Oreochromis niloticus: one gene and its partner. The main gene of each other region encodes a partner of the protein of the gene in region 2 in a complex. Links are inferred from orthologs where the notes say so. Each region holds a gene or a part of one and is shown on either strand. Other genes may lie near its edges.

The links.
Region 1: the proteins of etfb (region 2) and etfa are in contact, whole or in part, in a crystal structure (PDB 2A1U), measured with the Homo sapiens proteins. The link is inferred for Oreochromis niloticus from reciprocal best matches to the Homo sapiens genes ETFB and ETFA. Residues at the interface, in NP_001976.1 of Homo sapiens: Ile14, Tyr16, Val18, Ile20, Val22, Val29, Thr31, Phe41, Leu102, Arg106, Lys124, Gln125, Ile127, Asp128, Asp129, Asp130, Cys131, Asn132, Gln133, Gln136, Met137, Ala139, Gly140, Phe141, Asp143, Trp144, Pro145, Gln146, Thr148, Phe149; in NP_000117.1 of Homo sapiens: Glu27, Leu88, Pro89, Glu90, Ser113, Ala114, Phe115, Lys117, Asn118, Pro121, Arg122, Ala124, Ala125, Lys126, Glu128, Val129, Ala130, Pro131, Ile132, Ser133, Arg146, Thr147, Ile148, Tyr149, Ala150, Gly151, Asn152, Ala153, Leu154, Cys155.

What each region holds. Positions count from the first base shown.
Region 1 is NC_031972.2:52,800,826-52,804,747, forward strand, and holds the start of etfa (electron transfer flavoprotein subunit alpha, mitochondrial), read right to left. Parts: upstream 3,054-3,922; 5' UTR 2,935-3,053; coding exon 2,896-2,934; intron 1,203-2,895; coding exon 1,053-1,202; intron 548-1,052; coding exon 466-547; intron 116-465; coding exon 33-115; intron 1-32. UniProt on the Homo sapiens protein: Heterodimeric electron transfer flavoprotein that accepts electrons from several mitochondrial dehydrogenases, including acyl-CoA dehydrogenases, glutaryl-CoA and sarcosine dehydrogenase.
Region 2 is NC_031976.2:28,323,487-28,327,408, reverse strand, and holds the start of etfb (electron transfer flavoprotein subunit beta), read right to left. Parts: upstream 2,826-3,922; 5' UTR 2,723-2,825; coding exon 2,669-2,722; intron 1,251-2,668; coding exon 1,092-1,250; intron 788-1,091; coding exon 629-787; intron 509-628; coding exon 446-508; intron 1-445. UniProt on the Homo sapiens protein: Heterodimeric electron transfer flavoprotein that accepts electrons from several mitochondrial dehydrogenases, including acyl-CoA dehydrogenases, glutaryl-CoA and sarcosine dehydrogenase.

The DNA of each region.
Region 1 (3,922 bases), on a different chromosome or scaffold from region 2:
TATACAAGCATCATTTGTCTACTGTGATTTACCTTTCCAAAAGCTGAGGCACCAGCACAGATGTGAGTGAAGTTGAATTGCTTTTGTGTCTGCAGGATAAGTGGAGTCAACTCCTCTAATAAAACAAACAAATCAGAATCAGCATAATTTATTAATCCTTAAGGAAATTATGTGGGCTACAGTTGCTCCAATACAGTAACATTAACAGAAACAGACTAGACTGTTTAACAATACAATATGTTACAGATTTAGGAAATAGCACAATACATACAAATTACTCAATAACAAATAGTCCGATAGCAGAAACAACATTAGGCAGATGGCATACCGCAAATGCTGTGACACCTGTTCTTAATCTCTTAACCATATGAGCGGTTAATTAAACACATTATTACTCTCTGTGCAAGTTAATTACCACATCACTCAGAGACTGGCAAATATTGAAAAAAGAAGCGCCAATAATACCTGGTAGGCCACCTTTGTAAGAATCATGTTGGGCCACCAGGACCTTCTTCACACCTTTCACTTTGCTGATTTCCTCTGCAACCTGAAAACACAGAAAAGACATCCAACTTTCTTTGTGCATATCTTTGTGTACAGCAAAATACACACTACAACATCCTACTCCAAAAGTGAAGCACAAACACACCAAAAATAGCAGAGGTGATCCATGCCTGCCTTTGTTGTGTTTTGTTTTACTTTGGTGTTTAATAAAGGGGGGAGGGAAGCTGATGATTCCATGATTGTACTTTTACATTAAACCCAACCAATTTCAGCTCTGGAGAGCTAGGAGAAGTCCTGAATAAAGCCTGTCCTACTGTGCCTGTGGCAGCAGGAGTGAGTCTGTAACTTTATCAGCGCACCACCACTCTTGTCAGAACCAGATTTCCTGCAATCAGCCGCTTTTATTGCACCCTTAACAAGTTTGTCATCAGTTTAACTAATATTTACTTTACGTTTGCTCCGTAATGGCAACACAATCTTTCGTCATTTTAGTTATTCCATTTACATGCACGCACACACATACTCTGCACATCAAAAGCTTTACCTACCTTTGCACAGTTTGTTCCAGCGACCAGACAGGACACCTCTCCTCCCACTTTAGTAGCAGCCGTGATGGCATTGAGGGTAATAGGAGTTAATTTTTCATTGTTGTGTTCTGCAATGACCAAGGTGCTTTGAAACCTCTGCAGGAGACCAGTCTGAAAACACAATCAGTCAAAATGATAATATATCACTGTTTTGTTAGTTCTGCTGCCTAAAGAGGTTTAAAAATAAAATACATGCTTGGTAACATATGAATGTTTCTGTATTCTTATCAAATTTGTTTTTCATTTGAAAAAAAAAAAAAAAAAAAGATAGATACTGCCACCTAAAATTGACCACAGACACCATAATCATCACAGTACAATCATCTTGAAGTAGTGTTGAGCAGAAAAGCTGAATTCACTTTATCTTCATTTCTACCACACAATCCAATGTCATAAATATCTGCTGACCAATTTCATGTGTTTAAGAGTGAGCAGTAAAATTGTATAACAGGCAAATGTCCTACATAATAATTTTTACCTAATGCTTTACCTGTGTTTATACATGCATTATTTAGAATAAATGGTTGTGCATTAAATATTTTGATACAGAGTCTGAGATCATCTTTAGAAATAAATGCTGTGGGAAGGTGCACACATAATGTCAGGATAGAGGGTAAACAATTTTCGGTGCAGCCTCTAAAACGGCTGCATCTGGCTCAGTCAAAGTAAAACAGGATGCTGCCAGCCTCATCTGGACATGACCTCACACGGTTAATCAGCCATGTGACGCAAAGGTCATTCAGATAAAGACCAGCAAATGGAGAAAAAGGACAGGCCATGTCAACTCAACCAGGGGTTCCCACAAAACAGTGCTGTGAAAAAGATTATATGCACAATGCACAATAGAGCACTCCCAAAGGTTACACAGGACAGAAAATTATAGTTTCCACCTGAATTAAATGACAGATTTGAGTTTCATAAACTGTCTTCATGAAATAATCTACTATGAGTTCAAGTTTCTGTCAGGTTTGATGTATTTCAAAGGATTTGTGTCAGATCCAAACAATTTTAATAATGCATCCATAATATACACATGAAAAATAATACAAAACATTTTGCATAACTTTATAAATACCTTGTGATCAATAAATACTAAAAACACTTCCTCAATTCTTGTACTTTACGGCAGTGCAGGTTGGACCTGTGCAGTTTCAAGGTGATATAGGTGGTTTAATTTGGCAGAGACTGGCCTTTGAAGCTAGATCCAGCTAGTTATTTTTGACATAATGAGTAAAATAATTAAGAAATTTCTAAGTAACCCTTCCAAATTCTCACTAACTATGGTAGAGCCTGTAAAGGGGGAGGGGGGGCGCGGGGGGGGGGGGGGGGGGGGAATAAAAACTGATTGGATAACAGGGAGAAGCCCAAAATACACAAAACATATGAAAACTACATTTTCCTACCAACCTATTGCCTACACATCTCACCAGACATATGTATTTTTAATTTTGACTCTTTGGTAACACCTGCAAGTGGCAGTTTCGTAACCGTTTCATAAGCATGAGGCTAGCCAGGCTAGCACTAACTAGCTTTCGTTCCAAAAATATTAACTCCTTTTTGAGCTATTTCACAAAGTAGAGATAGTATGCAGACTTATTGTCGCATTATGTTAACTAATACTGCCACATGTGTGAATTCCTTGTAGCACACTTGCGTCTAGAAACGACAATGATCCGGGTAATGTGTAGCTAAGTCATAAAGCAAGCTAGTAGCTGCTGCAAAGAAACCAGAGTTTACTGTTAAAAACTGATTTAACCGATTAATGCAATGCCTCACTGTAAGTTAGTGTCAGCGTTCTTCTTACCAAATGTTTCAGATTTGATTTGTTAAGAGCTCTGTTCATCTTGGACCCCGAAAGCTACAGCTCCCTTCCAGTCCTGCAGACACAAAACTGTGCCAAAGGTCATCTGACGTCGGCGAGGAATTCTCGCGAGATAGCTTCGATCAAGAACCGCAACTTCCGGCCAACGCTCTCGCTCTCCCTCTCTCCCTCTATCTCTCTCTCTCTGTGAAGTTTAATCATATTGACAGAAATATCAAACACCAAAATAAATAAATAAACAGAATCTTTCATTTTTGTTTTGTTTTGTTTTGGGTTTGGTTTTTTTTTTGGGGGGGGGTTCGTATTAAGTTAATGTTTGCTTTCCTCTTCAAATCAAGCAGGAGCACATTTAACTCTGATTGGAGATCCTCCGCTATGCAAGTGCTGTGTAGAGAAAACGCAAAATGACAAAAATAAAGAAAAGTAGAATACATTTCGAGACAGACAGAAAGAATACATTTTGAATAAATATTGTCAAATGTTACCGAGATATATTTGAGAAGCTTTTTTTTGTGTGTAGTTTGAGAAGTGAAAAGAAAGTGAAAGAAAGTTTTTGTCCCCTCACTTTTTTTTTTAACACAAATTAGCTATAACATTAAAAAAAACTACTTGCAACATGAAATTAGCAATATCTATAAACTCTATGTGCAGTACATCAGTTCCATTCTGTGCACTGGGACTATGTCAAACTACATTGTTTCTTACAGTGTAATCCTCTGCTGGGTCCTGAAATTGAGGCAAATGTTACAGGTGACATGTAACATCAACCTGAACCCTCAGTGTGACTTGTTGGGGAGTTACAACTTGACTTAATGTAACTGCTCGATGGCAGTCGATGGCCTTCTCCAGCATACCTCTGCAGAAGAAAACCTCCAGGGGCATTAGAAAGCCCAAGAGACTGACCCAACTAGAGAAATCCCCTTATCCCAACGAGAGCAATGATCAACCAGTGTCCTTAAACTATTACTTTAAATCTTATAATGGCCAATACTGACTAATGGGATCAGAA
Region 2 (3,922 bases):
CAACCACAAATAATCTTGACTACAGGAGTCATGTATGCAACCCAAATTTAGAAATAATTTTTGCCATTTACATTACAATATCTGTCTATCCAAGTGCCCAACCTGGACACTGTAAATAAGATTAAAGTGCTCTGTTTTGGCCAGCCAAAGAAGAACTTCACTCCATCTATCCAGGCAGCCTTTGACTTTGGCTTTGTTGATATGTGCAAGATTACTGTAGATCTTACTGACTCAAACTAGCTTTTACCAACTTTGATAAGGTTAGTGAAGGCTATTGGGAACAGGAACATATCCTCTTATCATTACTGTTATACAACACAGATGAAGAAACAGAAAACATAGAAACTTAATCTACAAAAAAAGAGAACAAAAGAAAGAAAATAAACTAATACCTACATAATTATAGGGTCAAATATCTCAGCGCTACTATTTAAGGTAGTCTTACCTGAGGCCAGTCCAGTAAAGCTGCTGTCATCTGGCCAGTCTGATTGCAATCATCATCGATGGCCTATGAAATAAACACAAGTCCTTAATTACTTAACAGCAGTGCAAGTATTCTTTAGAGTATGGAAACTAAGAATGCAATTTGAGAGAGTGTGAGGAAAATAAACTATCTGAAATCTTTAACCTGTTTGCCAAGGAGAATAAGCTGAGCATCCTCCTGTTTGGCAAGAGCTGCCAGGATCTTAGAGACCTGAAGGGGTCCCAGGTTTTCATAGTCTTTCCCACTCACGTCCACATGAATGCCACGGTCAGCCCCCATGGCAAGGGCAGTACGGATGGTCTCCTGAGTTAGAAAAAACACATGTAAGAGAACTTTTCTTTGGCTTGATGTTTGATGACAACCCTGAAATTATAATTGTTGATAACCTTAAACATATTAAAAATACATTTATGTAAACATCATAATAATCACTTTCTGCTTACAGTGAGTCTGACAGGTTATATGCATGGGATTTCAAAAGTTATTTTACATGTAAAATAATACACCTGAAAAAAAAGGTATATATATGTATCAACTTGCAGCAGCTCCAAAGAACTCCAAAAATCAGTTAACTTGCTAAATTACTGTCTCGCCCCAGCTCATTCACCTGCGACTGCTGTGGCCCACAGCTGACAGCCACAACCTCCTTAATAAGCTTCTTCTCCTTCAGCTTGACCGCCTCCTCCACAGCAATCTCACAGAAGGGGTTCATTGAGTGCTTAACGCCATCTGTCACCACGCCAGTGTTGTCTGGCTTCACACGGATCTGTGGAGAAACAAAACAATAACACAGGGTCACTACAGGGGAGCTAAATTAAAGAAACAAACACAATGACAGAAACTTAGAAATGAACTGAGCCAATACAAGGTGTTAAAAGGGTAAATACATCCAGTGATGGATATTTAAACAGATTTAATGTAGCTGGCAGAAAACCTTTAACTAATCTTATCTTTTTTTAAAAATTGGTCTGTAATGATCAATTCTAACACCACTGGAATTGATGTGCTACTATAATCACTTCTACTCTTTTGGAAAGTCACAAAGGTAGCACTGGTGCTGGCACTGGGTAATAAGGCCTTGCTTTAATGTGGTTAAGGTGTAATGTGCTGTTGCGACTTCCAGCAGCACATTGCACACTTTTGGAGCTGCTGCGACTTCCATGCCAAATTCTGAAAAAGTATATACATCTCAATGGACTAGAGAGGGTGTTGAGGAAAAGGTCTTCCTCAAGTGTGGCTAGGATACTTGCAGTATATTAATGTTTTTTACTGTCATTGTATGACAATAAAAAACATTTAATTAATGTTTGTTTTTTTTTTAATTTAAGAAAAAAAATAAGAAAACCTAGTGGCTTTAACGTTTCTGTGAATGGACCTTGCTATAAAGTCAATATAATGCAACTTCACTTATACAGAACACTTGCCAGTTAAAAATTCAATTCTTGCAGTAATCAGTCAGTCATATAAAACACGAGTGATAAAATATAAAATAACATGAGAACACTTAATCTGAAATTACAAGCAGGCGTGGGCATTTCCCCAAACTGCACACAATTTAAAATGGGAAAAAATAAATAAATAAAGCCGATACTCTGACTAAGTACTGACACCTCTACCTATCAGACCGCTGAGGATATTGTAATCACAGTCGTTTTGGCACTGTGCAGATCCTGCTGAGAGCAGCTGAGGCAGGACTGTTCTTGCTGCAACATACACCAGCTAGTATTGCTTATTGATTATGGTGCTGTCCCTCAACTGAAGGGTAATGTTAAAAAGTAAAAGAATATTCCCATTTGAATACCGGTTCCTGCAACATACACGCCTGTCTTACAAACTACTTTAAAATCTGCGAAAGTCACTGCCCAATTTGCATGGAAGTCATTCCAGAGGTTCAAACAGACATGTTATACAACTTGCAAGAAGTCGTTTGCTGCCCTGCTAAACACAAACTCAGCTTCTCAGTATTGTGCATTAAATAAGTGAATACATTAATTTGGCTAGAGACAAACAACTTATCTGTCAAAATAATATGACCGGTCAGTGGTGTGGTGTTGCTCTGGTTTTCCACAACCGACGATTTTAGGCTAACATTAGCTAGCAGAGCACAGAATGTCAAATAAGTGAGCAAAGAAAAATACCTTTAAAAGCGCGAAAGAAAATAGGTAATTTGACTTCAGATATTACCTTAACTGCATAGTCAATGACACGCTTAACTCCGACGAGAACACGGCCAGACATTGTAGCTGAAACGTTTAAATAAAACAGACAGCTAGCGTTACACAGTCACCGCAATGAACCTTCACTCAAGAAGCAGTCGGAATTATTTCAGGGTGAAACCAGAGGAGGGACTGAAGTGACCGCCCCCCACTCTAGCCAATGAAATGCTGGCATTATCCAGCGTTGTAGGTTACGATTGGCTGTAGTGTGTGTAAGTTGGTTGCTAAACTCAACAAAAAGTCGCCGGTCGCCGCAATTTCGTTGACTGAATAACAGTTCGAGCTTACTGCGATTGTTGGTGAATGAGTCTTATATCACTTCCAATACTATCGTAATGATTGTCTTATTGATCAACTTGCTTAAAATAGGTAAATTACCGTAAACCACATACGAATCATACGGTGCTCCTCATATCTATGTCATAAACAAAACCCAGAGAAGAAAAGTTCCGCTTATATGGGGCAAAGGTCATGAATAACAGAGTGACATGATGAGGATCATATTGAGTGTCAAACGATTACTTAAGAGATTTATGATGACTTTATTTTTTATTTTTAGATTAGTGTTTTAATCATGCAATCACATTTCTTTTAATGTTCAAGCTAAGTGTGAAATGTGTTGACAGGTCATGTTATTTACTGTATTTTTATATTACATGTACTGTATATTCTGTTAAACCAGCCGTGGGCTTGGGGGGGGGGCACTGGGGACCACAAGTCAGTGTACTCCTAGTGCCAGTCCCTGGCTAAATGGGTCGGGTTAGATCAAGAAGGCCATCCAACATAAAATTTTTACCAAATCAAGCATGCGGACCATTAACAATGCTATTTACATGCAGGTTTAAAACAAGATCCTCTGGTGCTGTTGCCATCAAGGTGCCAATAGAAACTGTGCTACTAGTGGCCGGAGACAAAGAAACAGGAGAGGGGAAGGCATGTTCAGAGCCAACAAGAGAGAAAGATAGGGGGAATGAGGTGAGTGTGTGATTGTGAAAGCGAAAGAGCTGGCCGATATAATGAAGAGAAGGAAGGTAGATATATTGCGTTTACAGGAGACCAGGTGGAAGGGAACGATGGCCAGACAGATGACAGATGAGGTCAGGCAAGAGTCTCAGTGGACTATAACATTATAGTCTTAATGATAAAGTTATGAGAGAGTAAGGAGCAGGTGGAAGAGAGCCTGGAGAGGTGAAGATCTGTTCTGGAGAGAAGAGGAACGAAA